Linked DNA regions of Struthio camelus. The protein of the gene in region 3 interacts with the protein of the main gene of each other region in a biochemical or structural test. Links are inferred from orthologs where the notes say so. Each region holds a gene or a part of one and is shown on either strand. Other genes may lie near its edges.

What was found.
Region 1: of the proteins of WNK1 (region 3) and KLHL3, one has a biochemical effect on the other in vitro, tested with the Homo sapiens proteins (2 studies listed by BioGRID). The link is inferred for Struthio camelus from reciprocal best matches to the Homo sapiens genes WNK1 and KLHL3.
Region 2: of the proteins of WNK1 (region 3) and OXSR1, one has a biochemical effect on the other in vitro, tested with the Homo sapiens proteins (2 studies listed by BioGRID and IntAct, with this or other methods). The link is inferred for Struthio camelus from reciprocal best matches to the Homo sapiens genes WNK1 and OXSR1.

The regions. Positions count from the first base shown.
Region 1 is NC_090954.1:5,720,297-5,730,385, forward strand, and holds the start of KLHL3 (kelch-like protein 3), read right to left. Parts: upstream 5,207-10,089; 5' UTR 5,174-5,206; coding exon 5,064-5,173; intron 4,633-5,063; coding exon 4,516-4,632; intron 1,586-4,515; coding exon 1,479-1,585; intron 1-1,478. UniProt on the Homo sapiens protein: Substrate-specific adapter of a BCR (BTB-CUL3-RBX1) E3 ubiquitin ligase complex that acts as a regulator of ion transport in the distal nephron.
Region 2 is NC_090943.1:6,329,457-6,340,212, reverse strand, and holds the start of OXSR1 (serine/threonine-protein kinase OSR1), read right to left. Parts: upstream 5,210-10,756; 5' UTR 5,068-5,209; coding exon 4,998-5,067; intron 1-4,997. UniProt on the Homo sapiens protein: Effector serine/threonine-protein kinase component of the WNK-SPAK/OSR1 kinase cascade, which is involved in various processes, such as ion transport, response to hypertonic stress and blood pressure.
Region 3 is NC_090942.1:69,115,119-69,126,253, reverse strand, and holds the start of WNK1 (serine/threonine-protein kinase WNK1), read right to left. Parts: upstream 4,456-11,135; 5' UTR 4,329-4,455; coding exon 3,537-4,328; intron 1-3,536. UniProt on the Homo sapiens protein: Serine/threonine-protein kinase component of the WNK1-SPAK/OSR1 kinase cascade, which acts as a key regulator of blood pressure and regulatory volume increase by promoting ion influx.

The DNA.
Region 1 (10,089 bases), on a different chromosome or scaffold from region 3:
GCAGCCGCTGTCCTGCTCAGATGACCTCCAAGCTTCAGAGGGCTTTCCCAAGAATTTTTACCTCTTATCACGAATGAGCATCACAAGGACTAGCAAATCCACTGTTAATACCCAACTGCAAGATGCAGTTTCAGCTGCCTGGAAAACACCAATACCTTCCGCCTTAGAAGTCTCACCAAGCAAATAAAGCCATCGGGGCCAACCTCAGATCTCATCTAACGTTCAGACATCTGGTTACACCTGAGCGTTGTATGCTTGTACAGATTCAAATGCCCTAATTGCACCCTATCCCTCTTTTTGCAGTCAAAATGTTATTCTTTCTTCTGCAGTTTCTGCCTGTCTCCATTACAGAGGGGAAAAAAGGACTGCCAAATGACAAGCTTTTTCCTGAGAAACACCGCATTCTGCTTCCAGCAAAGCAAATCAAATCGGGCCTAACCCCAAGGCTTTTAAAAGGAAGAGGCATCCACATAGCTCCTGGGTGTCTCTGAAACGGGCTTCCTCCTTGCCTAGGCCACAGACCAAGGAACACAAAATCAGAGCAAAACCTCACTTATGCACAGCAGCGCGTCAGGCTGAAGCCAAGGGACCGTAACAACCGTTCCCTGGAACGTGTAATCGTTCCCTTTGTATTTGGTTAAGTTAGTTCCAGTCCTGGCAAGGCAAGGAAAAGGCAAGGAAGCTAAGGAGCTCCCAAGCGGACAGAAACTTCACTAGAGAAACTCAGCATGTTGGTCTGGTCGTTCTCCTGTCGTGGTACTGGCAGTGCTCTTTTGGCTGCCCCCTCCGGGCACAGCCTCTGAAGAGCACCCCCATTACGGATCACACAATCAGAGCACGAATTTTGTCCTCTTTTTCCCTTCCACGCTGGGGTTGCATCTGCCATTACTACAGAGAGGGCTGCAACAGCGGACCCTGCAGAGCTAATAATACACAGCAGGACCAAGAGAACAACAGTGTTATTTCGGGCAGTAGCAAAAAGTGCCATTGGAGATTAAACATCCGTGACTGTGAATAAGCATCTGCAGGGCTAGGCCTTGAAACTGCAGCTTCTGTGCCAGGACCTTCTTTGATGTGCACTGTGATCTTTTAGGGCATGGCACACGTGCTTGATATTAACAACATGTGTTTTCATGAGTTCGAATTTTTTTTAAGGAGAGAAAAAATAAAAAAGAACCAGTGAGCCAAACCTCATAGTAGTCACCCTGTGACCCATATGCTACAGACTCCCTCATACCCAAGGACCCTGCCTCACTGACCCTACCTCAAGGAAATTAGCCAAAAGATGACCAAGATCATCCATCAAGTGTAACAAACTGCAGACCTAACCGTGTTTCTTCTCTTCCAAGGAAATCCTGTCTATAGAGGCCCATGCCTACTTCCTTTGCTGCAGGTCCTTCCAGAGACACAGTTACAAGTCTCAGAAGCTGCAACGGCCCATCCAGCCACAGTGCAGTGATTGCTGTAGGGAAGAGTACCTGTAAACATGGCACAAAAATAAGGGCTGCAGGCCGCAAGGACCACACGGTGGGCTTCCATCTCCACAGTTTCAGCCACAATCACCACATCACAGAGGAGCCGCTTGCTGGAAAAACACCAGAAAAGACAAACATCATTTCAGAACTCCTGGTCATGCAAAAAGCTATGTCAGTACACCCTGAAAAAGTAATCCAAAATCCTACCACTTCAGACAAGGTACCTGAGCCATAATTAGATACTGAAGCTTCTGCCAAACCTCAGTGGAAGCTCCTTTTAGCCTTCAACTACCAGCTCCTGTCAGTGTTGGCCTACAGAGCAAATCCTGCATCTTTCCAGGGCTGCAGCCCTGCTTGCTGTGGAGCTGTAGCTGGTCTGCTTCAAAAGAAAAAAATCTGGTAAAGCCGAACTAGACATACGTGCTGCCCAAAGAACAGATGGGTAAAGGGACTGCCTCCATCTCTCAAAAGAATAGGGTTTAGAGAAGGTACAAAAGAGCTTAAGCGTTTGGGTGCTACCTCGAGGCAAGTCCTGATAGGTCTCTAAAACAAGACAGAGCAAGGGAATATGACTTTGTACAGCGTTCAGAAAGGTGGAGCAGAAAAAGAAAGTTGTCTCTGCACTCTCTTCCTAGGTCAGGCTTGGTACAGAAACGCTTGGCCCTACAGCCCACGAGCTCCCAAACATCAGTTCTGTCCTGCCTAGCACAGAGGGCTTCCCATGGTTCTCCCAACAAGGAACAGTCAATCACTAGAGTTTATCAGTGGTCCTGATAAAACTTAAGTTAAATGCATGAATTAGGCTGGGATTAAGAGTCAATGAGATAAACCAAGGGGTTCCAGACAGAAACTAACACTTTGAGATCCCTCACTGACTCATTGTACAGCTTTGGCAAAGTCACTTCATTAATCCGTGACCTTTCCTACCAGTTCCGTGTATGTCTTTTGAGGATTCATTAGTTAATGTTTGCACAGGACTGCTGAGATGCAGACAGCTAGAAGTGCTCAGCCTCCCAGTAAGTTGGTTTAAGATCTCTGAGCATACAAATGCAAAAAAAGGGGTGTTCTTTTCAAATGTCAAGCCTGAAAACAGATCAGAGACAGTAAATCTAGATGTTGCCTTCTCTTCAGAACTGTTTATCACAATGCTGCATTTTTTTTTTCTTTAGAAAACTGCACATCAACTACACACAGAGCTTCTAAGGGACTAGGTACGTCTCCCTCCTCTCCTCCATGCACTGAAATAAACAAACACTGTTTGTGAAACAGAGGGTTACAGTTTGAACATAGGGAGAGAGTAAGCAGGAAAAGATGGTCTGTTCTCTACTCTTCCCCAGTTTAGAATGGATGATGGTAAGTAGAGAAATTTTTTAATGGTCACTCAGTGAGGGTCTTCTCCTTCCCTTCAGCTTATCTATATTCATCTAAGGTATCTCTCATGAAAATTAATCTGATTTTTATTTGGAAGCTAAAAATTTCAAGTGAAAAACCTACAGCAAATAGGTTAAAGGTTTAGCAAGATTTCTCTAGACCTTCTAAAGGCATTCAATTTGAGGCACTATTATTCAAGGCAGCTATTAACACTGATTGTTGACAGCTTAACTGACCGCAAGTTCAATGCACAATACATGTAGACATGGGAACTCCATATTCCAGAACAGCAGCAGGAGCTGAGAAAAAGGAGCGCACCCAAGGGGAAAGTTAAAAAAAAAAAAATCCAACAGTAAACAGGTGCTTAAGGGCAGCTTCAACCTTAAACATTTTAACATTTCAGTATTGCACAAGATCTAGCTAAATACAGACACATTGTCAGTCTCCAGCTATTCCCACTACGCTTCAATTAACAAAGGAATAATAGTAGCACAATAGATTTCTGAATATAGCTGCACAAACCTCTATTTTCAGATCTTTTGCTCTCAGTACAAAGAGAGGACTAGAGGGATGCCAAGAAGAAAACATATTCAGCTTCACGTATTTGTTACAAAGGAAGGCTATTTCCATTTTCCTCCTCCTTATGCATCAGCTGAGAATCACTGTCAAACATCTACGGAGACGTTTCTAATCCTTCTCTGTGCTGGAGAACGTGTATGTTAGGAAAGTACTTAATCCACAGAAGAGAGGCGGCTATTACAGCATCTCTCGAGTACTTAGAGCATGCAGGAAGAGTGAAGTGTTATCTGCTTTCACCATAACATCTGCATAGCAAGGCAGCGCGTATGCTTATGTGCAGTGTTAGGAATATAGGAAATTTTTTTTTAATTGGGTTTTCAAGTCTCTGTTTGAATGGTTAAGGGCTCAAATGAACTAGCTGGAAAAAGGCTCACTAAAATTCTCTCTGACTCAGGGGACGATAACAGCCAAGAAACAACTCAGATTTAACCACGGCCACCACAGAGCTGATGCAAGGGCAAGGGTGTCTTAAAGAATGCCTTCACTGAGATTTTTTTTCAACCTTCCTCCTCCCTTTACCCACACAGTTGTGCAAAGACACCACAGTGTTCTCCTTTAACCAATATTAGGATTTAAAATTAGCAAATAGGGGTATGACCTCCTCCTAGGTTGCTTTTTTTCCTCCCCCTCCTACTTAAGAGGGCAAAGCCCAGAGTGAGTGACACCACTAGTCAACGAGAACAGGAACGGTACATTAATAATCCTTCGTCTGTAATTACGTGGTGTCTTAATGTCTGTAATATTGTTACTGGTTTTCAGACCATTAGCTCAGTTAAGAACACAGTTTACAGCAGAACTTGCTGTAAGTAATGGAAAGCACTAGATGAATTATCATTTATAAACAGAGCATATTGCTCAGATAGTGCTTCTGAGACACAGCTGTGTGGTTTCTGACGGAAAGTTAGGCAGGTGCGAGGCTGCAACCCAGCAAGGAACGGCCACGTTTCAACTGTCCCTTCCTACTTGTTTATTAACAACCTCCACGCAACCGCTAGCCGTGACAGAGATGGCACAGATTTCTTGCAAGTCCCCCAGAAGCCCTTCGGTTCTCATCAGACCGGAGGGGATGCCCAGTCGGTCGAAAGCGTACCTCCGTAACTCGTTCATGACCTTGAATGCCTTTCTCATGTGAGAGGGGTTGACCGTCACCGTGCGCTGCTCCTTTTCGTCTTCGGCTGCCTCAGAGGATCGGGAACTCTGCTTAACGCTAAAAATAGGGATTAGAAAAAGAAAAAAAAAGAAAAAAAAAAGGAATAGAAAGTTTGATTTAATGGCACTAAAAAAAATGAACCGTAAAACTGCCACGGAGGGCAGTGCACGCACGGAGTTATTTGTATGTCTGTCAGGCAGCCCAGGTGGGCCATACGCAGAGCATCAGAGAAGGCAGCTACCTCCGCAGGGACGCCGAAAGCCAACCAGCCCACGTTTCCATCAGGAACAGAAAAAAGCACCAAACACGCGAGGACAAAGCCCAGCCCTACAGGCTCCGGTCCAGGAAAGCAGAATAAGCGGAAATCCAAGCCAAAACATAATTGCCTCACTGAAGAGGAACAGACTTCAGCACTGGGAATTACGAGAGCACCAGGAATACCTTAACATCCACACAGAGAAACACAAGTTTAGTTTTCAAATTCCCACCTGAAAAACGCAGGCAGACATATATGACCTGTATCTCCTTCCACAGAGGAAAATCCAAAAAGGGCTTTCACAGCTCCCAGAGCATCAGCGTTACGGAAGCCCCTTCTCATTTCCACTCCAGAAATAGGTCTACTTAATGTCACTGAAACCTGTAGAAAGAATTATTAAACCAGAATTTCCTATCAGAACTGCACAGTATATAGGCAAAGTAAAATCAGATGCGCCCCATTACGTGCTGTGTTTAACCAGGCCAACAGGTGCCTAAGGCACAGACGCGTCCTCATTGCTTTGTGCTGAGCCCTGGCTCTTTATCCACAATCGACATAAGGTCGATATATCTACCTCTGTGATCTGAAAGCGTGTGAAATCACTCGGAGCTAAAGGTTTCCATCTGTGGAAAAAAAAAAAAGAAAAAAAAAATGCAGCACTTTACAGCGAGATTACTCATTGCTGAAATCCAGAGCCCATTCCTCCGACCTTCCAGCAGCCAAAAGCAAACAAGACAGGTCGAGCAAGGTGGTCCACGTCTAAGCGCAGCCCCAAGCGAAGGGCAGATCACCCTCCCCGCGCTGCCCGGCCCCGGACCACGCCGAGCTCCTCGCCTCCGCCACCTCGCGCTCGTCCTCCCTGGATGGGCTCGTCCTTCTTCCAGAAGCAACCCGCTGCACAGCGGCCAAGTTGCACGCGGCGGCAGGCACTGAGTTAGCACGGGTGAAAAAACAGGCAACGAAACAACCGGTTTTTCTGTGCCCAGGGCAAGCTGAACCCTCCCTGCTCCTGCCCGCGCCGCTAGCAGCCTTCACGCGCACGGAGCGGCCAACTGCTCGCTGGGGACGCTGCCAAATTCGGTTAAGCCTCAGTGATGTATCTATCAAAAGCCTGCGTTGAAATCTTCGGCCAAGTGAAATTCGACCGCAGCGTTCAAAACTGCAGCGTAAAGCCTTGCTTTTTAAACTGCCAAAGCTTCCCTCGCGGCGGGCCAGAGCCCAGCAGCGAGAAACGAGGCTCTGAAAGCGCGAGTAACTTCACTGAACTTTCGGTCTCCAAAGCTGAAACACCTACAGGAAGCCAAGAGAAAAGAAAAAAAAAGAAAAAAAAAAGTGAAAGAGGGAGGCAGCAGACACCTGCACGCAGGGCTCCGGGGTGGGAGCAGCTGGGCCTCCGCAACACGCTGCTTTCCCTCTCGTTCAAAGATTGACCTTACCCCATCCAAAAATCAACCGATGCAAACAAAAATCATGAGGTTTCTTTAATAAGAAAGACTACTACACCCTACTGAGATTTATTTAGTAGCATTTCGGCGCCAGAGAGCAAAGATTCGTATTGTCAAACTTTCCAGCCGGCAAGAGATGCAGGACAAAGGACGCGGCAAGTTTCACTGAACCCCAAAAGCAAATGTCAGATCGACCAGCCTCCATAAAGCTGCAACGCCACCAATATTGGTCTGTACGCTTTAAAAGCAAAAACCTTGCTCTGGAATTTTTAAAAAACGATTGACCAATTCCTCCTAAAGAGCGTGAAGAGCAACCTTTTAAAAACTGTCCTAAAAGACATTCTCACACTTGCTAGCACAGGTGGATTTCAGACTTTACCAAATACCTAAAGACTCACCATAAAAAAGTTCTGCAGATAGTCTGGTATACAATTTGATTCAAAAAAATCAGGATATGCTATTTAAAGTTTTTTCAAATGACTCACATAAAAAACATGTTAAAAAATTTAACAGCTAAGTGCCTTTAACTCATGCTTCAAAATGACTCAGCTTCCATAGATTTTTGTACCATTAATACAGTGGGGATGCCTTTCTCTGGAACAGTGATTTCACACTACCATACACATGCTCTCTGATACCACTGACACATTTCCACCATAAAAAGGCAAGGGCCTAAACTATCCAAGTAAATGCAATCTGCCACAAAGCAAAAACTACCCCGAGAGGAAGAAAATAATGCATTACATAACACTTTTCTGAGTATTCTCCTACAACACTAAAAATTGTTCTACTTAGGAATTACTCCACTATTTTATTAGCAGAACAAAGAAAAAGAACAAAGCTCTCTAATCAAAGGTACTGGCTGGGAACACCAGGACACGCAAGGGTCCCTCTCCTCCGTAATCAGATGTACTTTCCCTGGAGCACCTTTACATTCGAGCAGCGGCGTCCTCCTGCACCAGCAGGACTTGCCACCCGGGTGCCAAGAGCAATCTGTTCTATTCCTGGGCCATCCGAGGCCACGCGCTGACAACGATTTAGTTCCCCCGGGCTGGATTAATAACCTTGTTAGGGGCACAGCAGGATCCTCCCAAGATAAGCAAAGAGGCAGAGCGCCAGCCCCACCACCACCACCACCACCTCCTGCGAGGTCCTCATTTCAGCACTCCCCCCACATAAAACAAATGGACCTGATCTCAAAGTCCCAAATGGCATCAGGGAAGCTAATCAGAAGCCCCTTTACACCACTGTCCTCCTCTCCAAGACAAGACAGACACACTAGTAGGCCTTGGCCCAAGCTACCTGCAGGCACGTAGCAGGGCCTGTCTGAGCTCAGGCTGCATACCAACCAGCAAGAAGGTATTTTAAAAACCCATAACCCGTAGCTCTGCTGCATGCATGCATTAACTATAAAGTTGGGTTGCCTTAGTTACCAGCAGTAATTACAGATGTCTTTGTAGATTATGAGGAAGAATAAAAGCCTTCCTCTGAGCTAAACCGTCCCCTCAGAAAATTATTACTGTGCAGAGAGCTGGTAAACCCCAGGAACGAAAACGGTGACTCTGCCAACAATCAATTCCACCACTGGCTTCACTGGAGCCAGAAGTTCACCCTAAAGAAACAGCAGCTTTCAAATGAGCCTTCCTTCAGCGGTGGACAGGACGGGCTTCTGCTCACACTTCTGAGGGAACGTCCTCAGGGCTCAGCTCCTGACCTTCACATGGACACCACCAGCGTCTCTCCCACAGCTCGACCACGCTCTCGCGGCGGAGCTGCGTTGCACCACCCCAGGGCTGACCCAGGCACTGCCAGGCAATCCCGATCGCTCCAGGAGGAGGCAAGCCAGGACAGGGCCACCAAGGCTGGGACTGCTAGGACACCTCAGGACTCTGCTGCAGCTGCACGCAGAGGTCTGCGGTCCAGATTGCCTCGTACACATCGTGGAGCCCCTGGTGCTGGCGGAGGGTTGGCCTCCCGCGCACCACGGGACTCGTGGACCTGTGCACCTCCATGGGGTCGGACAGCCCCACCACCAGTGTCTGGAGCTACGGGAAGGGAGCAGCCACTGCAACGCCCGGCCAGGAGCCTTCAGGCAGGAACGCAGCCCCTGACACTGGAAGTGGGGTGGGTTGTTCATCCTCTCCAAGCACCAAGAGGCTTTTGCCGTCTGAGGCGGAGAGCCTCGCGCGCATCCTTCTCAGCGGAGGTCAGCAAAAAGTGCTCGGCTTAGAGAAATCAGTAAATGCACGTGCTGCTTTCCAAATGGCTCCAGCTTCCTGGGGTCCAAACGGTTTGGAAACCTGGCAGCCTCTTATGGCACACAGCACCCAGAGAAAGACAAACAGCGTGCAGTAGTTATCTTTTTGGTCTTTGGTACTGATGTTTCAGAAAGGACAGAGCCAAGGTTACTTGGGCGTCCTGAACTGGCCTTTCATAGCTTTCTGTTAACTGAAAAGTGGAGTGACATGTTAACTATGAACGTCCTAAGCCTACAGCACTTCTTTTGGGATGCACTGCCAAACATCGCTGTAGTCTTACTCTTAACTTTCTCACAGGTTTGACACAGTTCTGCTCTAAAAACCTAAAAGATACCCAATAGCTGTTCCTAGTCTTCAAAGCTTAAATGCTTCTGCTAAGACAAGTGAAGACCAAAATATTAATTTAGTCTTGACAGAATGCGGGGGAAAAAAAAAAGTAAGCTTTACCTTAACTGGAGCAACTTTTTCATGCAGAATCAGTAACTAAAACCATAAAGACTTTATGCCCGACGGTTCCATCCCTTGAGTCAGACAAAACAAAATAAGAAAAGGATGTCAGTGTGATGGCATATTTATAAAATCCCAACTTCTAGAATTTTCTTTGGGTCAATAGAAAGATATTAAAAACTGTGATTGAAGGAATCTAAACAGACAGATGGATTTGAGAGGATTTCAGAGAAATATTATCATTAAAATGTATTACAGGGAACATAATAGAAAGGTTTTTTGTTTTCATAATAATATTTATTTGCAATTTAGTTACAGGGTTTTTTTCAGTGCCTGAATCTACACTGAGACATCAGTTTAGTGGAATATGTAATTGGCAGATGACAGACCCCAAAAGGAACACTGATCTCAGAGGAGATCTCAGGAGAAACGCAGGCGCCGGGAATTACTGAGAAGAAGAGAGTTCTCTGACAATGCTGGAACCAACACAAAACGACGCAAATACGACAAGAACGTCATTTACCTTCTAAGGCAGGTATTGTATTTCTCAGACAAATAGTATGAAGAGATTAGCACCATTTAAAGGCACATTTAAAATTACAAGTTTTTTTTAGTTCTTTAACCAAAAATTCACATTCCTTTTTTTTTTTTTTTTTTTCCCTTTCCAAACTCAAACGCACCTTGCAAATTGAGAATCGGAGTGCACGCACCCAACCATACAGTGTTATGTTAACTCTCCAGGAAATAAACGTCCCTATCAGCAGGGGTAACGGAGTTGATCCTGACATAATTTCTTGCCACATGTGACTGTTTCAGGTTAACCTCCAGCCCGTCCCCTTCTGCAACTGCTTCTGTGCCTGCCCGTTACAACACAGGCACGTGACCCCACGGAGCAGATGTGACGGGTGAATTATCTGGATATTTAAGTTTTGGCAGGCTTGGAGGCCAAGACAGAGGTGATCCAAGCAGCAATCCCGAAATTAAAACGTGTTCCTTGTGATCTACAAAAGGGAGAAGCAATGCCATTAAAATCCAGGGGGAAATCTGCTGGCCTTAAGCGCACGTTTTGAGGCCACATATTCCAGCCGAAACGCTAGACAAAAGTACA
Region 2 (10,756 bases), on a different chromosome or scaffold from region 3:
TGAAGCGTTAAAAATTAATCAGTTCAGGAACCTAACTGCACTGGAAGCAATTGCAACACACAAACCAACCACGGGAAATTGTCAGCTCCTTCCACATGAAACACCCCATATGTTTTTTCCCCTAATACCCAAAATAGCTGAAAGCAGCAGGAACCATCTCTTCCCTCCCCTCAAATTAGCAGGAAGGGCAGCCACGCTGCTTCTACAATAATGACATATTCCTTCCAGTAAGCCTCTTTCACCACTGTTCGCCCTTTTTGCACCCTTAATCTGCTCCCTTATGCATTTTATCCTCCTTCGTATGAGAGAGTAAATGACAGAAACTAAACAAAGAAGAGAGATGCACACAGCTGAACATCTTTTGCTTTCACTTCCCAAGAGATTAAGAGTTACTCTTTTTAGCTCTGTTCTACTGAGTAATGGTATTAAAGGCATTAAAGAAATAAGATGTGCCAGGTACTCAAAGAAAAGGTAGCCTGGAGGCAATGGTAACATGGCTAAGGATCCACAGAGTCCACATATTGGGTCTCACTCAGGAATACGCAGGAAGATACATTCATTAATGTCCAAGTAATTGAGAAACTGCGGTAGGGAGAATCATCCATTTCAGCGCCCAAAGTGCTATGAATGACTGCCAGCATTTTAAACAGAGCTACATTTGCCCAATGATAGTTTTATACAAGCTTTAACATAATCTAAAGCAACAAAAAAAGTTTTTCTACCAACTTTAAGTGAAAAAAGTTTGAGAACAGCACATGAAGTGAGTCTTTAAATGAATTAACCAGCTTAAAAACTGGGGACATGCAGTAGGAATCTTTTTTTTTTTCCCCACTAGCTGCAGTAAAGGGGGAGAGGGGGAAGAGGAAATGCTAAAACAAAACATATGGCATGAAGACCAAAGTCTACACATTCAATTTAGTTTTCAAGTTTTTATATTTTATCGAGTGCAACATTTTTCTTGAATGGGTTTAAAATAGTCAGGCACGTGAAACTGGCTGCAACTAGCACATAAGACTCTTGCGAGGAAAAAGAAAAACCCAACACACTTCAGAAGAGAAACCTAAAAAGTTATCATTGGACCAGTGTCTCCTATTCCACCCTAATCTTAACTTAAAAGGACTTTGACTATACCTGACGAGTATTTATAGGCTACTCTTTCTAGCTGGCTGCACGTTTTCAGTACGTGAGAGATGTATTCAAGCACAGGGCGGGTGACCATAGATATCTGGACAAGATTTGGGGAAGTGCAAAAATTAATTTCCAAGAAGTTCCTACATATCGGTGAAGAAGAATTTCTCCTATACAGGCATACACGCTCGCACGTTCAGCTTGGAAAAAACACAACTAGAAACCTAAATAACAAACTCCAAAAGATCATGCTGTCCATGGGCAAAGCCCCACTCAAAAGCTAATCAGCCATTAAAAAAAACCCTAACCATTCAGTAAATGTGCACTTCAATTTTCAATTTAAGCTTGATTTCTGAGGGGAGAAGAAACTCCCAACACATCTGTTCTCCCCAGCCTGTGTTCCCTTCACTGCTCTGAAGGAATCTGTCAGAGGGAAAAGGGCATAGGAGTAGAGCAAGGGAGAACTCCCACTGCTAATTTATCTTCTGTTTCTGGCACACACTGTTAATAGCAAAGAGGATGTTCCCAAATCAAATGGCCACAGCCAGTACAGCCCTTATCTTTCAAAAAAGAGGAAAAAAAAAAAAAGTAGCAAAAGGAGAAATGATCCAGTTCCAATGGACTTCACTACTGCTGTCAGCATGTCCAGCGGGAACTGCGAGATCCAAAGGAACCTGGCTCTGCGAGCACGAGAGCAGCACAAGCAGCATGAGGTATAATGGGTTTTTTGCAGGCTTCAAAAAGACGACTGCAATGATTTATATGCAACTCACACTTGGAAGACCACCTTCACAAGCATGAGGATAGACTACATTTTTCTTTTTAAAAGAAAATTTAGATGTCTCCACAGATGGTATTCACCTGCAAAGGCTAACACTACTCTGGGGGTGCATGCCACAGAAATGCATTGTAACTTGCTTCCTCCTCCCTCAGCCCACACTTCCTTTTTTTTTTTTTTTGTTTCCCCCCCCTCAAATGAAAGTCAGGTTCTGATCCTAAGCAAGACCTCTTAATTCACTGTAATGTAAGTTATTTAAGCCTAAGGAGGCTACTCAGCACTTAGCCACTCACACTAACCAAGCATAATAAACATAAGCATTAATCTATACCTTTATAATGGCATGAATCATGTCCAGGGCTGAGTAATCTCTTTTTAGTATTAGCTAGAACCAGGAAGGCAGTTTTACAGGAGAAATTATTTATTTATTTTTTTTTTTTTAGCAGCTAGAATGCTTGCTCTTTCAGTTCTTGCACTGAAATAGTACAGAGCCATCCAAGTCATATGAAAGCCACACATGAATATCTTCTGGCAAAAATAGCACAAATAAGGAATTAGATCATGTAGTCAGACATTGATTTCCTTTATTCTGATGTGAAAAATAACTGAGTTGGTAACCTCCTGGACTCAAAATTTAAAGAACATTTTCATCAGAAAACAAGTTAAATCCTTTAAAAGCACTACTGCAAGGTTCACCCCTTTCCACACCAGATCCCTTCTTCGTTCACTACTGAAGAACTTTTACAGTTCTGCAGAAGTCAAAGGAGCTCAGAAAAACCTTGAGGTTTACAAGAGACACGAAGCAGGAGCAGTCCAGCTCAGTTAACACAGTCCAGCTCAGTTAACACAGTGACATTTTGTCCCACAAATGATAAATGCGCTAGAAAATTTGCGTCACATATACATCCAGGGCGCTGGCAGGCACACCAGTGTTGAAAATGAGTAAGATGGGGGGGATGGGAAATTGAAAAAAAAAAAAAAAAGGAACCATATGTTTGTAATATACACATTTCAGCATACTCTCCATTACATTCCAGAATGCCAACACAATCTTTCAATGAGCAGATGACAACCAGAAACTCAAAGTTTACAGAGGAGTAGGGGAAAGACATGAAAGAACTGAAATATCCTATCCCTGATTTTTCTCCAGTGAGACCACAACGTATCTACGTCCTCCTTCTAATACTGTTGGACTATAGGACGTGCGTCTCTAGCAGCAAGTCCTCCTAAGAGCAGGAGCGCATTTGCATTCCCTTTTGTTCCCATCCCACTCCGTTCCCCAGCTACAAAGAGGCAGCTTGTCCTTTCGCTGGATACTCAAAACCTGGCTTTGTGTTATGCGAGAGCACCCCTTCGGAGACTCCCACGGGAGAAGCGCTTCCTGCGAGCACGGGTGCAACTCCCGCAGCTCCCTTTCCTGCGGGGACTGGGAGCCCAGTGGCCTGTTCTTCCCCCCTCTTTGCCCCTGCACCTTTATCTGCTGCTCCTGGAGGAGGCTCGACACCAGCCTCACCAGGGTGCGTCTTCCAGAGGAGGTTTAACGGGATGATCTCCGAGGAGGTTTAACGGGCTGATCTCCGAGATTACGTCTTCCCGGTCTTTACTGATGGTTTGCCTCCTTTCTAAAGCGCTGCTGCTCCCACTAGGCGAAGGGAGAGGATAAAGCCTGATCCAGTGGAGCAACAGGGATTTCCAGAACTGCCACAAGGATTTTTCCCCCCCCCAACAGCTTTAGTTCCTTCCGACTTTCAAACAATGCCAAGAATTTAATCTCTTAAAACAGCATTTTCCCCAAACTCTCCCACCCTTGTTAACAGAAACTAAGTCTCCCTGTTGGGCAGAGATGCAAGGCCTGGGCACGATAGAGCTATGTCATTTATAAATTTCAAGTAAAAGCACTTTACAAAGATTAAACCGAAAATTAACCTCCTTCCTAAAAGCCTCCTGGCCAGGAGCCTGCCCTGCCACCTCCCACTTTGTTTCCTGCCTCCAGAGAGTGACACAAGAGGCACTGACCTTAGCATTGCCTGTGGCACCACCTCAGACGTGTCACACGCGCAACCTAGAGCAATATATCCCTCAAACACACACCCCAGCCGAACGGTTGAGACGGCCAATAAATCAGGACAGCAGGAGGCCTTTGGTAACTGTGTCAGTTTAAAGTCAAAATGTTTTTAAAAAAAAAAAAAAAAAGAAAGAAAAATCATTTACTAGAGAGCAAGGGCCAGGCCTCAAGCCGAGAGGACAATGAATGAAGATTCAGACAATAGTAAAAACCCAGGGAAGAGGAGAAAAAAAAGTGCCACTGCTTTGGTGGCACTACAAAGTCCTCCGTCCCCTGAAGACGCCAAAGCAACAGAGCACCCAAAGCGCCAGGTGCTGCAGCGGAGGCGCCCGGCTGCTCTGGAGGGAGGGAGCCCGTATAAATTTTGGGGTTTGCACCGCAGGCGACCTCACCCCCCACCCCAGCACAGTGGATTCAGCCGGGTCAGTAAGCGACGGGTCAGTAAAGGAGCCCCCAGAGCACAGACCCCGTCCCATCCTCTGCCACCCAGCACGAGGGTGCACTGATCCTCCCCCCCCCAAACCCCAAGCAGCCCTTGCCCTGGAGGGTGTCCCCCCCCCCCCCAAGGGACAGGGGAGCCCCCCCCGCCGTGAGGTATCGGGGGGGGGGACACCAAACCCCCCCACACCCCTCGAGGGGCAGCAGACACCCCCCCACGCACCCAGAGGGTCACAAAAACACAGCAACGGGGCCCCCCCTCCAAATCCAAACATAGCCCCCCCCCCCTTGGGGGGGAGGGAGCAGATCCCCACCACCCCTTCCCTGGGTTTCGGGGGGGGGGGAATAGACCCTACATACAGCCATCATTGAGGGCGGGGGGCATCTGCTCCTCTGCCCCCCCCCATTTGGGGAGCAGACCCCCCCCTCCACACCCTCCACGGGGGGGAACACCACCCCCTCCCTACACAGACCCCCCCCCCAAACAAAGTCCTCCTGGCGGGGGGGGGGACACCCCCCCCCCAAACGGTTACACACACACCCCTCAGATGGGGGGGGGGGGCAGGACCCCCCCCCCCCCGCACTCACCGATCACCTCCTGCAGCTCGTAGTCATCCTTGTTGATGGACCAGGGCAGGGCGCTGGGGTCCTCGGCCATGGCAGCGGCGCGGCGGCCCGCGCGCGCCGCCAGCAACGCAGCGCAGCGGAGCGGAGCGGAGCACACAGCCGAGCCGAGGCGCAACCGCCGCCCCCGCCCCGAGCACTGCCGGCAGCGGCGCCCGCAGCCCCGGCCGCCGCCGCCGCCCGCCCGCCTCCCGCTAGCGCCGGCCAAACTTTGCCTGCTCCCTCCACCTGCCCATGCCCAGAGTCCCGCTGACGTCACCCACCCGCGCGCGCTCCAGCGCCAGCAGGGCGCCGCCCGGCGCCATCTTGAGCGCGGCGCCCCGCCGGCCGGCCGCCCGCTGTCTTTTTGTTTATTCGGCCGAGAAAGGGGGCCGCCGCCGCCGCTGTCCTCGGCCCTCCGCCGCCGTCGCGGGACGGCGGAGGTGGGGGGGAGAGTAGGGCCGCCAGGGAGGAGAGAGTGGGAAGGGCGGGGATGCCACACACAAGATGGCGGCCGCCCGCATCTTCCCCTCCCTCAGGCGAGAGGCGGGAAGGACTGCTCGCTTATAGACCCGCCCCCGACGCTGATTGGCTGCTGGCTATGAAAGCCGAGCTCCTATTGGTGAAAAGGCTGTCGATCCCCCGCAGTCCTTCTCCGGGGTCCCGTCGCCCTCCTCCCGAGAGGCTCCCGTGGGGGGCTGGGGAGAGGGAGGGGGGAAGGGGCGCTGGGCCTGGGGCTGGCGACGGTTTCTGAGGCCAAGTGCCACGAAGGAGGCAGGGCGGCGAGCAGGGGTAGAGCTCGGCCCCGGGTGCCTCAGGCCTCCACTTGCCACACTTTAAAAATAGCATCCAGGGGTTAGGATGGGTGTGAAGGGATCAGCAGGCCCGTTTTGCCCCATCCACCTCCAAAAACGAGCAGTTCTGAAACGTGCCGGCCACCAAACGCCAAGGTGTTTAGACTGCACTTGGGCTGCGCGCAGGTCCGTTGCTGGAGCTGGCGAGGTGGGGGTAGAGACCCTAAAGAAAAGATTAAAAGAACGAGGAATGGGAGGGTCATTTTTACCACGAACTCACATAGGCTGCTGTTTACATTGGTTTCATAGGTGTCTGGAGGTTTTAAATAGTCCTAATAGCCATAACACAGCGTGTTCTTGCTGTCACCACACACAACAGAAACGATCAGGACAATCAAGCAAAATGTGGAATTTCTGTGTCAAGTTGTGTTTTTCAGGCGCTGTTCTTCCTGTAGCTTGATAGCAGACGCTTCTGTGTGGCAAAGAACATCGGCTTTACGTATTTTTAGCTTATTAGGGCAAATTCCTGAGACACGTCTGATGAACCCAGCTTTATAGAGGGCCACGGGACCCTGCCAAACGCGGGGCGTGACTCCAGTATTTTCACTTGCGCTACCTAACGCAGGACAATAACTCCTTCCTTCTCCTCTTCGTTGTCCTACCAAAGGAAATGACCCAGAGCCGCATCTTGCTCGCTGTTGTCCAAACACCGAACAAAGACGGTCTCTGTCCGTCAGACAAAGCTTCCGAGTTAAAAGCTGTTCGGTTTTCCTGCTTGCCTCTGTTACACGTTCCTCTGCCAAGCGATCTCTAATACTTGCTAAATATGCCTTAATTATTGCTCGGAACCATCTCTGTGATCTTTTAGCCGTATAAAAGTAGTTTTTTGTAGCAATTCAAAGCAGGTTTTGCCCCACTCAGGTGAATATTTCCGATAGCTGACCGCGTGTTAAAAATGGATCTGAGCCAGGCGTCAACAACTGAAGAAGACACAGGCCCTGATCCTGAAAATCTCAAAGCACCTACTTAAAACCTTTATAGCCACAGTGATGCGTAGGCTTCATTTTACCACTCTATTTTTAAAGTCTAGGCCGTGTTTTAAATTCTCTTGTTTTGGGGAGAAAATACTCCCCCTGAAGACAACGCTAAAACTCCTTTTGCTTTAGATCGATGGGACAGGATTATGTCCACTATAAGCCTTATCTTTTGAGGAATAGAGTAGACTTTGATAAATAGGAAAATTTTAAATGTGCATTGACTAGACCACCAGTGGCCACATAAGCACACACAAATGAATGATGTATTTTAACTTTTCACCTCTGCGATGAACTCTCCATTTCCATATTTTAAAACCAAAGAGCTCTCTTTCGCATAGAATCTGGATCCCACAGATATTGCGTTTATGTTTTAAATGAACTCACGATGTTGAATCCCTCAAAAGTCAGACGTTGCTGTTGCATTCATCCAGCAAATTGTTTCGATGGGAGTCTGGAGAAGGATGAAAAAAGGGAGCTGGCCTCTGTGAAGTTCTTAACACTTAGCCCACTTCAGATCTTCAAGCAGCACCTTCTCCTGTTTCATCGTTAATATTCTGCTCATCCTACTTTTCCTGATTCGCTTTATTTTGTCTGTCTCATGTAGGTTGTAAGCTTTTCAGGGTAGAGGAAATGTCTCTATTTATAAAACAGCCTGTAAAGTGGTGCTGCCGCGGCAAGTGGTTTGTTGTAATAACAAGACATTTTAGTAGAAGTCTGAAGTGGAAAAGCAGTTGCCTGCGTATCCACCTCCGCTCTCTACCAGGCATTAGGGAAGAGTGAGAAGTGGAAGAACTCTAGACTTCTTTCTGGTAGGAAAGCTACAGTCTGAGAAAAGGTCTCAGATCTGGGTTTGCTATACTTCTTGACTTAAAATTTAATATCTCAATGATTGGAGCAGGCGATCCCCTCCTCCCATTGCTTCTGCTGCTGCATAAAGGCTTTACCCTGACCGCTGTGTTTCATCAATGTCCCTGGGGCTGGTGTTTCCTCCCAGCTGGCTCTGAGCCTTTGGAGATGGCTAGCTCACAGGTCTGTGCACACCTGTGTGCACACAAAAGGCTTTCATCCTCATAAGGCATATGCTCTAGAGGACCCTGCTTGAGCAGGGAGGTTGGACTAGATGATCTCCAGAGGTCCCTTCCAACCTAAACGATTCTGTGATTCTGTGATTCTGTTTCCTGCCTTTGAGAGGACAATTACATGCTATTTCAATGAAACTTAATGGCACAGACCAGCTTTGCTTTTCTTTTTTTTTTTTGGCTCATATAATAGTGGCTATCATAAAACCGATATTTAATGGGTGGGATGGTGACTCTAATATTCTGTGCAAAGTGAATAGCTTTAGTACCTGTAAAGGGTCCTCAATGGTAAGATATCCTCATCATCAGTGTGATCATAAGTAAACTTTATTTACACCGGGACTGTAGAAAACTAGCCTTAATAACTCCAGTTTGCCTATTGAGGCATTTCAGATTTCAACTTACTCTCAAATATAGTTTTCTTTTTGGTACAGTTAGCCTGGAAGTTGCTCTTTCGGAACAGTCATGCAGAAGCATGTAGTGTCACAGTTCAGTTGTGTTTTAGGCTATGGAATTTGCTGCCGCGTTTCTAGTCAAAGGCTTTTTAAAGCATCATAAACTGCTGCTCGTAAGGGACTGCGCATTAGCTACCATGATTCTCACAAACAGTAGCAGTTAATGTGCTTATTGAACTGCTTGGTACGGTCGTGGTTTACCAAAGCAAGAGGGAGCCTAACAATGCCTGTCTTATTACATTCATAATAGTGCAAGCGTGCTCTGGCAAGGAGAACGCTCGACCTTGTTTCACTACAAAATTTGCCTGCTATTCGTTCTTGATGGAAATACTTGCAGGTTTATTGAAGGGAACTTAGTCCATCAAACGGTATCTGATTATTTAACAAAGGGCAAGGCTCTTTGGTCTGTAGCCAACAAATACAAGCATGCAATTTATCTCCGGGGATTTCTCATGCCATTTTTGCTTTGGTTTTTGAGAAATGAGGCAAGGACCGTGCAGTGAAGTAAGGAGCAGTGATTTAAAATCCTCTGATCGGAGCAAGTTTTTAATAATCAGTTTGGTGGAACGTTTTCAAACCACAAGCCAAATGCCAGTGTCAACCACGTCGGCAGGTTTCTATAAATGATCCTGTGTACTACCACGTATCTCCACCCTGTCATTCACGGGTAGCGTGCTAAGTCATTTTAAATTCTCCTTTGAGGTCACTTTGAAGTCAAGTAGCTGAAGGCCCGGTTCTAACAGGTGAATTCTGGTTCTCACAGTCTGTTTACTGAAACCAGCTTTCACTCTGCAAACACATTTCTTATCCCATCATCACTGCCTCTCAGCTAGCAGAAACGCTACACTATTCTCCTACTTTCTCCGCTGAAAATTATGCCCCAGATTTTAAGCATTAGGAAACAAGTAAAGCGCTTATGACCAAGACAAGGTCGTACTTCTTTCTCTTTTATTCTAAGTTTATGCTTTTTAGTGTATAAATTGAAAGCCAATTAACGCTGTCAGTAACAGATCACAGCTTTGCTGCCTCCTTGAAATCTAGTATAAAATTGATGTTAGGTTTACGAAATAGTTAATTAGAACAAGATCTTGATTACCATGTACTGGAACTACATTTAATAATCAGTTCTTGCTCTGCTCTGGAATACAATAATACTTTCTTCATACTGCTTTGTCCTCAAAGAAGCTAATAAAGGACATTTCACATGTCCACACCTCTGTCAGCTGTGAGAATCTAGTTATCTCTTTGGAACAGCTTCTCCGGACAGAAGGGTTTTCCCTCTGGCCTCTTCTGTGAATGGTAAATCTCTATCATAAAACATTTTCTGGACAGCCGAGCAAGTCAGGGGGGATTGATAATGTGTTTCAGAGTTTTTCTGCTCTGCTTTGAAAGTGCAAAAGAAATCTGATGCAAACATCCAGGCCCTAATGCACCAGTGTGTTCACCTGGGCTGTCACTGCTTTGTCGTTTATGAAGAGAGGCCAAAGACTGATGCTTGGTCTGTTATGTAACACTTTGCATGACTATATTTAAGAGTGCTTCAAACATGTTAATATTCAATAAAACTCTTAAAAAAAATAGTAGAGACAGAAGTCCGGACATTAGATGCTATAACGGTGCCAGAGAAGATCCCCTCCTTGCCGCTCGCTGCAGCAGACAAGTCCTGAGCGTCCCTGGGTACTTAAATCTCCTTTTCAGGGCCGGTCGTGGCAGGTCTTTTGGTCAGTCCTGAAAACAGCTCTGGGAGGAGACACCGGTGCTCCCTGTTGATATTGTGTGGGTAGTCCGCCAGCCTGGGAGCGCTCTGACCAGATCTGTCCGCTTTACAGCTGGTAAATGCTTTGGAGAAATAAAATAAAACATGTTCTGTAACAGGGCAATGAAGGAAGATGAATTCACTTAAAATGCAAGGAGAAAAAGAAATAGAAATAAGAAGATAGAATTAAACATAAGTTCATTTACTTTTTGCCATCTGGAAATAAGATGTGTGAGGGAATATTGTTCTTATCTACATTAATGGCCAATATCGCTTTGCACCCAGCTAAGCTGAGGCCAAGCAAGGTTAGCGGTTCCCATTAGCAGGTTCTAATGACATGGGTTTACAATAATTGTCTAATAGGTCTGTGTAACAGTGACTCATAGCTTATTACTATGGAGACAGAAATGTAAAGAGGCCTCATGAAAAAAAAAAAAAAACTATTTGGATAGTTCACATCCTTTCCTCCCTGCTCATGAATTCCTGTGTCATTGACTACTGACTACTAAAAATAGGATCCTTTCTGTGTGTCTGAAGTCAAGGAAAACCTAGAACCGGAAGGACAGTGGGAGGAGACCACTGTCTTTATATACAGAGTTTTCAAGAAATGTTTTTTTAGGAAA
Region 3 (11,135 bases):
GTCTCATTAAAGCGGTAACTCTAACTACTTCTTCACTAAATTTATGAGACGAGCTAATGACAACAGTAGGAGGCACACTTGACTCAGAATAACTAGAGCTGAGGTGAATATATAGAATGAGAATAAAAATATTTGAAAGCGAAGACTGCACTAGCCATTTCCTTGCAGTAACTAAGCTAAGCACGGGCCCTAAGTAGTTGCTGCTCAGCTCTTCACAGCTCCACTGTGCTTATGGCAGAGCAGCTATTTCAAATTTAAATACTTGCATCTAGTATTTAAACCAGCTCACCTGCAATTTGCTAGTATAGAAAGATCGCAAATTAAACCAGGACAGTCCATCAGCCTTGCCTTCCTCAGGATTCGGGTTGCATATCTATCAGCAACCTTGAAATACTCAATTCCTGCCAATCGAGTCCTCTCATCTTCCTCAAATAACAAAGAAAAATTAGAGCATTGTCCAGGACCTCCCTTAGAGAGGTATTAAGAATGCCATCGAATCACACATCGAATTTCAACTCACTCTCCTTCCGTTTGCTCCACAATGCAGTACACCAAGCATAAGGGCCATTAAAGCGCAGTTCAAGAGCCTTCTTAAGGATATGGAGCAATATTCTCCAGAGTATCTTCAGCAACTTGGAAAGCCAAATTGCATTTGATAAGCAGGACTTAGGCACCCAAACTTCTTGATTTAACCTTTGTCTCCAAGAAGCATGTACATAAGAATTAGGTATAGTTATATTATCCATCGTTAAAAAGTCATTCGGCCAGAGTCCATTACAGATGCTCCTGTGCTGGACAGGAATGCCTTGATCCACAGTATTCCTACTACCGAGTGTCTTCTGATATTCAAACGCTGCAGTTTCACTGAACTAAAAGAAGCTAGCCTCTTATTTCCTTCCAAATAGCACAGACCTTAAAGAAACTGAAGCGCGTAAGGTATGCTAGAAAAGCCTTAGAAGAACATACCGCCAAGGATTCTGTTAAAGTACGAATTTTTCATTTCCATTTGGTTATATGTCTTGCAATCAAGAACTGTGATACACCTTTATCAGCTTTGAACAAGATAGGAGAGGAGCAATTTAAGCTGCAAAACCATGCTGAGCAGCCTTATTCTGGCAGTACTACAGCTGCACTATAAAAGACTCCAGAAAGATGGGACACCTAGGACACTCATACTTGCTAGCATGAACTACATATTAGAAAAGCTGTTCTATTACTGAAGAAAGCAAGCATTTTAAGACAATTAAAAGTAAGCATGAATTAGTTATGGTAGGTGTAATATGGCACAGAAGTCATTCACATTTTCACAGGAAAATAAAGTGTGCTTTGAAGGCTCACCAATCCTCAAGCCACGGCATTCTGGAAAAACAGTATGACACCTAAGTTTGTCTGTCTTAGTGAATCTAGATTGTATTTTGATACAAATCAAGTACACGGAATTTCACCAACCTGTCCACAGTTATAGTTTCCTAGAGAAAGACAAAGATGTACCTATCACACCAACTACTATCAAGTTCCTCCTTTTGTTACTCGAGGCAAACAGTAAAACAGGATTTAATCTTAAAATATCCTACTAAATGGAGTCTAGCTCCTTTAGCAAATACTTCAACAGCTATAAAGTTTATATTCATGTCTCAAAATTGAGATTTTTATGCAGTCTCCTTATGGCAGGAACACTGCAGTCTTCAAAGTAATTTAAACCACAATGCACTCCTGCAATACTGCTAACCTCCAAGCAAAATATCAACCGTTTCCCCCTTACAAATATTTTCATTCATGATTTTTGCAATCTCATTATTAAATACTACTTATGGAATTTTTTAATCAATTGAAAGCTCAGCAATATGCTCTTTAGGAATATGCTTATTTATTAAGTTACTTTAAAATGCTTCTTTAAACAATTTGTTCACGTGGTACTGAAGATGGTTAGGACATTTCAACAGAGGTAACGTTAGCGGGAAATGACCGATTCCAAGCTGACATTAGTTTCTGATCAGCAAATACAGCATAAAGATTAAAACAGATTTCAGGAGTTAAAAGTCAAGGAACTCTGTAATTGAAGAGACTAAAATTTCAAATGTAAGAATCATATCACTTTAGTGGATTATTCACCCCCTCTCAGTACAGACTGCACATGCTTAAGCAGAGCCCAACACTGGATTGTTTCACTTTTTTATTCAAAAGTAATGCCTGGAAGAAGACCACAGCCATTATATAGCTAGCATGGAGGAAGGGGGCATGCTTAAGCCATAAAGTAAACTGGAAGTTTACCTTCACAGTCAGTAAACGTGGAATAATGGCAATAATATAACTAACCAAGATACTAGCCAGAAGCTTGAGCAACGATCAAAAATGAAGTATGAATACAAACTGAGAGATCTCTTAATAATTTATCTCAGTGTGATAGGAATAGTTTAAAAAAATTACTTTTTGTGGGGGAAGAAAGTTTTCATATATTACTGCAAACATTCACGTGTGAGCAACTAACTGCTTAGCTCACCCTCAGAAATTTCTAGGATTTTCATCCAATGCTCGTCTACCCTAAATTGGATGTGAACACACCCCATAATAAACCTGTACTATTGAACCCCTCCCTAGAATCACAGTGAAACCCAACTCTGAAAAGCAAGCACTATCCTTTTAACACTGAGGCTTTGAAAGCCAACTTGCATGCTAGGCATTTGTTACTGGTACTCTGCGCTCTTCCCACTTCTTTTAAGTTTGTTGCACAGCAACCTGCCTCTCAGTTACGCTATCGGCGTTCCTGCCACCAGCAGCCTAGGACTTGACCAAACTCTAGCCCTGCTGAGGCTAGAAACTTACTGGAAGAGTAGCGTCTTATTCCAGTTTAATCCACTAACCATTTCGAAAAGTTGAACTTCAGCTTTTTACAGCTTCAGAAAGGAGACAATTACTCTCCTCCTAATGCCTATATCCAGTGAGAACTCTAGAACTTCAAATGAAAAAATAAGTTTATAAAACTAAACAATGTGGCACACTAAGTGAATTTGTGTATGTTCTAAGGATACCTCCTACAACAATCTACTGCCACAAATACATTAAACGTCTGTGAAATTCACATTTAAATATCTTTCTAAAAAAAAAAAAATCTGCTTAAACACTTTTTGAAAAATGAAGTTTACCTCAAGTTGACATTCATTTACATTGCAACTGGCACGTTTTCACTTAGCCTCCCTGAAGTCTTGTAAAAATACTTGTACAACCCTCCAAGTTACATTTTGGAGATGTAAAACATAAGATGCTGTAAGAAAGAGTCTTGGTGCAAATCCTGAGGAGAAAACGCTAAAAAATGTCTTCAGAGAGCAGAGTCTTTAAAAGAATTAACAAGCAAATGGACTCCAAGGAAAGGCTGCACCTTCCTTCCAAAGGAGCGGCTCAGGAGGTCTGCAGCACCCTGCCTGAATAAAGCTGACTTCAGATCAATGGATTTTACCTGCTTCAAGCATGCAGCCTAGCACCTGGGAGAGTGATTGTGCCTTGGTAATTTGTTATTATTATATATATTTTTTTTTTACCTGTAGCTCGCACCAGGCGACTTCCACAGTGGTCTCTGTATCCAGTCCTTTATAGACAGTTTTGAAAGAGCCTCTTCCGATCTCGATGTCAAACTTCAGGAAGCGACCGTCCGGGGAGATGCCCACCGCCTTGGTCTCGAGCTCTTCGATGTCTTCCTGCTGCGTCCTCCGCTCCTCAAATTCCCGGCTGGCAGCTGACGCGCTGCCAGCAGTACTGGTGGGGGGCAGCGCGGCGGCCTCCTCCTCCTCATCTTTGGGCAGCAGCGGGGCGGCGTCCTTGGCGGCAGGGGGCTCCTGAGCAGCCTGGCCTTCGACGGGGAGCGGGGCGGCCGGCGGCGGCTGCTGCAGCAGCAGGAGCAGCGAGGGGGCCTGGGCGGCGCTGACAGCGGTGCCGCAGGTCCGGCTGGCACCCTCGGGCGGCGAGACGAGCGGAGCGGCGCTACCTCCCGCGACGGGGGCCGAGGGCGCGGCGGGCTGCAAACTGGGCAGCTCCAAGGCGGTGGCATTGGAGTCGCAGATGACGCTCCGGCGGAAGAAGCGGTGCTCGGTGGCCGCCGCTCCTCGGCTGTCCTTGTCCATGGTGTGGCGGCGGCGCCGGTACTCCTCGCTACGGCCTCCGCTCCCCGCTCCGCCGCCGGCTCCGCCCGCCCCGGCACCGCCGTGGTCAGCGGCGGCGGCTCCCAGCTTGTCGCCGACGGAGCTGTCCGAGCTGGAACCGTTTTTGGGCGGCGGCGGCGGCGGCGCCAGGAAGCGAGGGGCCGAGGTGCCGCTCTCCGCGGCGCCCCCCGACATCGCGCCGCGGCGAAGCGCTGCTAGGGCGAGGCGGGGCCGGGGGCAGGCGAGGGAAGAGGCCGGTCACTGAGCGGGGAGCGCGCCCGGCCGCGGCTGCTGTCGCGGCTGCAACAGAGCAGGGTCCCAAGGGCTCCTCACGGCGGAGCGGGGAGGCGGCTGCTGGCGAGGCTGGGCCGGCGGGGTGGGTCCCCGCTTAGCGTCTGCATCCATCCTGCAGCGGCGAGCCGGGCAGCGGGGCCGACATGGAGCACCGGGAGCGGCGGGGAGGGCGGCCGAGAGGGGGGAAAAGCCCGGGCGGGGGCGGAGGGCCCCGGCCGGGGTTGGGGGGGAAGAAGCCGGCGCCTCGCCCGGCCGCTTCAAGGCGAGAGGAAGGGGAGAGAAACCGGGACGGCCACGGAGCGAGGCCCCGGGGGTTGGCCGGGGGCGCAGGCCCCGGAGGAAGCCGCCGCGCTCAGTCACTCGCACCGGGCGGGGGGAGGCCTGGGCAGGCCCAGCGCCCTCAGCCCCCGCCGGGGTTGGGGGGGGGGGCAGGGGAAGGGGCCCGGGGGCTCAGCCCCGCCTCGCAGGGGCGCCCATGGCGGCCGCGGCCTCCGCCTCCCGGTAGGCAGCCACCGCCCGCGCGAGGCCGGGCCGGGCCGCGCTGCGCTGCCTCTAGCAGCCGCCGCCGCCGCCTCGCACGGAGCCGGAAACCCTCCTCCTGCCCCCCGCCCGCTGCCCGGGGCTCGGCGCCGCTCCTCACCGGGGGCCGCCCGCCGCCGCCGCCACAGGTGAGCCGAATCCGGGAGGCGCCCCGCGCCGCGGCGGGAGGCGGCGGCGGGGAGGAGGAGAAGGAGGAGGGGGGGAGGGGGGTAGAGAGGAGCGGGAGCCGCCGCCGCGGCCGGCCCGGGCACGTCTCCGCGCTAAATGGCGACGGGAGCCCGAAACCGACACAGAGGGAGGGAGGGAAGGAGGGCGAGGGGCCGAGCGCGCCCCGCCGGGCACGCCCCCTTCCGCGCCCGCTCCGCGCATGCGCGGCCGCCCGCGCTACGAAAGGTGGCGCCCGCTTCACCCCCTCCCCGCCCCCCCCCGCTCCTTCTTTTTCCTTTCGCCGCCTCGGAGAGCTGGCAGCTCCCGTCGTGCCCCGCGCGGGGCGCGGCGCCTCATGGGAGCTGTAGTTCCCGCCGGTGGGCTGGCGCCTCGCCGTGCCCTCGAGCAGGGCAGGGCCGCAGCGGGCCAGGCGAGGGCGAGGGGGGCAGCGGCCCGGGGCGAGGGGAGGGAGCCCCTCACCGCACCCAGTAGTGCCTACGGCTGCGGGGCTGGGGGGGAGGGATGATGCGCTGCGGTGGAGCGAGGCGAAGCCTTGTGGGAGCTGCCCCTGGCTCTCGCTCTTTCAAAATGGGGCCGGCCAGAGGGTGCGCAGACCCCTGCCCTCCGCCCGTGCCGCGGGCTGAGCCGGGGGCCTGGGCGCGGCACGGCTAAAGGAGGCTAAAACGGCAATAAATATATTCCCGTTGCCTGTAGCTCCTCCAGTCCACAGGGTTTTCTGTTCAGGGGTTAGCCCTGGCGCTCTTCAGTCTGCAGGGACGCAGACCGGGGTCTTCGGATGCCACAAAATAGTCGTAGTCCTGAGAAGCAGGCAGGCCTCTGCAACATGAACAAGCATTCTCCTTTCGCATTTCAACCAGCAAACTGTGCTTGAAAACCTTGCAAGTATAGCTGATGGGCCGAGCGTGAATAAATGTGAGAAATGCAAAGCAAAGAGCAGGAACAGGAAAGGCTAACAGCAAGGTGTACCATGTAACCTATGTTAAAAGTGTACTAAGTGTGTTAGGAAATAATTGGCTTTGTGTTTTCAATCAGCCTCCTCGTTTGGCTTCTTTAAAATTGTGGGCAGAGATAACTGTGTGCATGTGTTTTGTAGAAGCAGGTTAGAGTGAATAGGGTTTTTTTGGTCTCAGTTTAGGTCATCAGAACATGTATTATTTGGCCAAGCAATCTAAAATGCAAGTAACTCGTGTGAATGTGCGCTCTCAATTATTTAAAAGAAACACCATCTGCAGACTTTGCCCCCCAAATGATCATTATCCTGTCATAATTTGAGTCATGACTTGGGTTCCTGTAGTTGAATAAAGGATGTTCAACCGTCAGAAGGGCAGTAAGAGCCCACGTGAACACTGACACAAATCAGGAACTTTCAGGTTAGCAAACCACTGGTACACAATAGTCATCTAGTTTATTTATATCGTGTTCCTCTTTTGTATTAATATATCAAAACCAAGCACTTTCCATCTTAACAAGTGCAGTGTTTTGAAGTCAGTGGGAAGATACTGAAGGAGGGGTAAATGGTTTGGTACCGTGCCTTTTAGGTGACTGCAATTCAAAAATTATGTGAGGAAAAAAACTTGGAAATTTCCCCGTGTGAATAATCTGTTCCTAACAGATGCACTGGCATTTCAAATACTTTTTTAAAAGTTACTTTTAAACTAGCCGTTTAGAGGAAGTTGTGCACTGCATTACTGATATGAGGTAATGAACATAATGAATACTCATTCTGCACAGTAGAACAGAAACGGCTCTTAGAGAGGTCCACAACCCTCAGCCACACAATACCAACCCAAGCAATTCTCACACTCTCATATTCCTTATACACTAAGTTTAATACCACACAGCAATTAAAACATCATTGTTTTCTGTACATCTATCTACCTCTTTGTAACAACAAACAAAATGATGATACCGTCTTCACAAAAGAGGTGACGTGCACTTCATTGTACAGCTCTTACACAAAAACTGCTGCACTGCTCAAGCCTTCTAGAGCTTGCCTTCACTGCAAAAGTTAATTTGTGTTGGTATAGGCTATGTCCGCCACTTAAACTGCACTGGCTTAAAGGAGCAGACACTCTTTAAAACAGTGCTGAGCTAAATGGAGTAATTTGATTAGCTGCAAAGAGTGACAGGATCAGAACTGAGCAACTCATAATTCAATCCGTCACATCCCCACTGCCCTGCCAGTAGACCAGCAATAGACCATCAACATCTTAAATAGCAAGCGGGGTTGAGATTCATTTAACACTTGGCTACAAGTTTTTGTGCATCTCCCTGAACAACAGAATGGAGATTCATCTGTAGTAGCAGCAGATGTACTCCCGCTAGCTTTATACTAGTAAGAGTAGTAGGGCACAGTAGCTGAGCTGCAGCAAGGGCTGGCAACCAAGGTCCCGTTACCTCCCCTAGGCCTGGTCTGTGCCACTCTACCTTCACTGCTGTTGTTGCCTTCTGGAGCTACATTAAAGCACAGGTCTGCATTCCTCCACTGCCTGTTGCATTTATGCAAAACTTCTGGATGGTGTAAATAGCAAACATGGAGATAAACAGCAAACTTTACTCCAGCTTGATGCCATTTTTAACTACACGAGCATGTACCTAAATAACACAGTGATAAATCAATCCTTGTGGTGTAAGCCTACACACTTAGGTGAATTCTGCTTGCAGCATCAGTAATCACTGGCAGGCAGCTCCCAGGTCTGTGCCCAGCCATGTGCCATATGATCTACTGCAAAAGGGACATGGGCTGCAGTTTGGGAACCGCCTCCCTGTGGTCTAAACGCGTGGTTTAAATGAGACCTCGTGGGCAGGCCCTCTCTTACTCAAGTGAATTTCACTTATTGTTCTTAAATATATTTTCCCCTAGTTAATGAAGCAAAATCTTTGTAAAACAGAGCGGAAGCTCTGCAGTGCGTAGCCGCAGGGGGCCCGAGGCAGATTCCTGCTAAAAATTGTGGTAACTATGTAAAAAAGCCCCACCTCAGTGTCGGATCCAGCACATTCCTTGGTGCCCTTGAAATTCGATAAAGTTAGACACCTGAGCGCAACGTTTTAAGCATGAGGTCCCTAACACCCGGCTCTTCTCACCAGCACCTCTTCTGGGCAGAGACAGAAATAGCAATCATCTCTGCAGAAAAAAACTTAGCATCTGACCTGGAGGTGGGAATGATGGATGTTGTCTTCTTTGGCTCTGAAAAATAAAGTGGAATCATACTGGTAATTACGTTTTATGTGGGTGCTGTTTTAATTTTGTCATTCTAAAAAAAGAACATAATAAAGAGTGTGGGTTCACTTTCCCTTCAGTTTGATTTCTTTGAATCTGTAAAACTGTGCTTAGGCTAAATGGAAATTTTCAGTATTGCTGCAAGATTTAATAAAGCATTAAAGTAAATTCTATATGTATGCTGTGCTTAGAAACAAGTAATTAAAATAGTTTCAGTGGCAGAGTTCCTCAGCCAATTAAAAATATTTCTTTCTCCTGTTGCTGCGTAAGGAAATCCACAGAAATAAGGAGTTTGACTATACTTGAGAAATTACAGGCAGAGACTTAAATGATCTTTTGATTAAATCCAAAGGGCTGTCACTTGACATCACTGTAAAAATATCCGCCTTCTCTTAAGCCTCTTTTATTGAGAGTCATCTTGCTTGGAACAGTAATAGTTTAAAAAATAACTCTGAATGAGTGTGATTTTGAAGTCGACTGAATCAGAAACTTTTTTTCTGTTTTGCTTTCTGCAGTGAAATTTCATTCACTGTTGGCATTCATGACTGCCCATGTGACAAAGTATTAATGTGAAACAGCTATTTTCTCTTATGCAATACGTTATGCAATACAAAAGGCAATGCCATAACTTTGATGCATGTCATTTTATTCCATAACCTAAATGCTTTTCAAATAAAACTGTTCATCTAATATTTATTGCACATTACAAGGTTACACCTGTGGTGCCATATGAAGATAGTGACAAGCCCAATTTTCCTACTACAATGTCTTCTTTTTCTCTGATATTTTTCAGATCTAGACTTCTGCCACAGTATTCATTTGTGTTTCTTAATGGTGGAAGTTAGTGAGACAAAGTGTTTCTTGACTGTAAGTTTGAAAAATGAGAGTTTTTAACTTTCTAGAAATGCTAGCACTGTTTTTTTTTTTTTTGAAAATCATATTCAGTAGGAAATTTATTCCAAAACCTTGCATTTCTTTTATTCTTTTATCTTTCATGAGGTTTTGTACTTTCAAGTATCTCTGGAAGTCAGTTCATGTTGAAATCAGTAATTCTGAACTTTGGAGACATCTCTAGGATCTACAAGCAGATTTAAGTCTTCAGCCTTTGCAGTAGGTGGTAGGTGTAGTAAGTGTTACATGGTGAGTCCTTCCAAAACTTTTGAAAGTGGGTAGTCTATCTACAAGCAGAGACCATAGGAACTGTCAAAGAGCAAGAACTACAAACTTTACTGGACTCAAAACTAAACATCTCTCTTTGAGCTCTTCTAGCTTTCAGAATCTGCAAGTTTTACAGGAAGATAAGGAAGATAACTACACCAGCCAAACTGTATAAGAATGACTGAACTCAGAGATGATGATTTTATATGATTTTTCTTCTTTATTTGTTGCAAAAATGTCAACAACCCTGTCCCATAAAACCAGGATATAACGTGTGCTTCTTCATCAGATTGACGCTTACATTGCCATTTCTTCCCCTCTCACCCCAGCTACTGGAATATAAGGTAAAACTCTCTTTCTTTCCCTTCTCCCACCATTCTCACCATTCATTGAGCCACATTAACAAATATATCCCAACCATATGAAGGTAAACCATTCAGAGAACTAGTGCAAGGACATATCAGTGGTCTGCTATCTGTGTTTTTTAATGACCAAAGTACAATTTTCAGTCATATTAGTAACCATTTAAGTCTAGAGCTCATTGTAGGCTACACTGCTGGCTCTCTGCTGTTTGTATCCAGTCAACTGTTATTAGCATATCTTTTTATCTATATGTGCTCTCTAAGCATAATCCCTTCAGATAAAGTCAAACAACGGGAACATTATTTAAAAAAAAACCCAAACACTGAATTTTATCAGAGATAAGACTCAGTGATTGTTCATGCACTATTTCAAACTATGTTAAGCCATAATGGCAGGCACTGTGGCCAAATTCAATGTCACCCCCTGTTGGGGGAGAGGAGAAAGGTTGATGGTTGCTCAGTTCGTTCTGTATGTCGTCTTCATGTCTATTCTTGCTATGTTTCTTTATATAATGTGCTTGTGAGGTAGTCTGATAGCGAGTGTTATAGAAGCATGGATATTTGCTGAAATCAGCATTCTAGTCTTCCTTTCTCTGTGCCTGTAGTGATTGCTTAGGAAGTCTCATTTATCTTTTTCTCTCTTAGGCTTTAGGGAATTCTGTACTTCACAGCAGTGTCATAACACATCTAAAGCAAGCACAGAAGCAGGGGCACTGCTTTAATGAAGAGAAGCTGTTTGATGAAGGTGGATGGAGGAAAGTGTGAAAAGATGATGGTGCTGGGCTTTTAACTGAATCTGCTAGTGACGCTGCGGAGCATGCAACCTGTCTTGTTTGCTGTTCACCAGCCACAAGCTGATGAAAATCAATTGCTCTCATAGCAGGCCTAGTCCTGCTCCCCTCTGCATCAACATACAAAACTAAAATAGTACTCACTTCAGTCAAAGCGTGAGCAGGCTCATAGTCCAGCATAAAGAACCTCCTTATGTCCTTTAAAAGCATAGCCTGGGCCAAAGGCAAAGCATTTTGTGTTGTTTATCCTAGCTCCAATGCTGGAAGGTGCTCAGCATTTCTGAAAGATCCTGAACGTTCCTGATGGATGCCGAGGGCTCTCCACGGCCACTGATGGCAGGGAGAGTGAAAGCACTCGGTCCCCCACGGTGATGCTCCACACCTGGCAGAATCAAGCCATTGATAAGGCAGGAGTCCTACAGAAAAAGCAGCATGTGGTCATTTGACTGAGAAGAGCAATATAAATCTG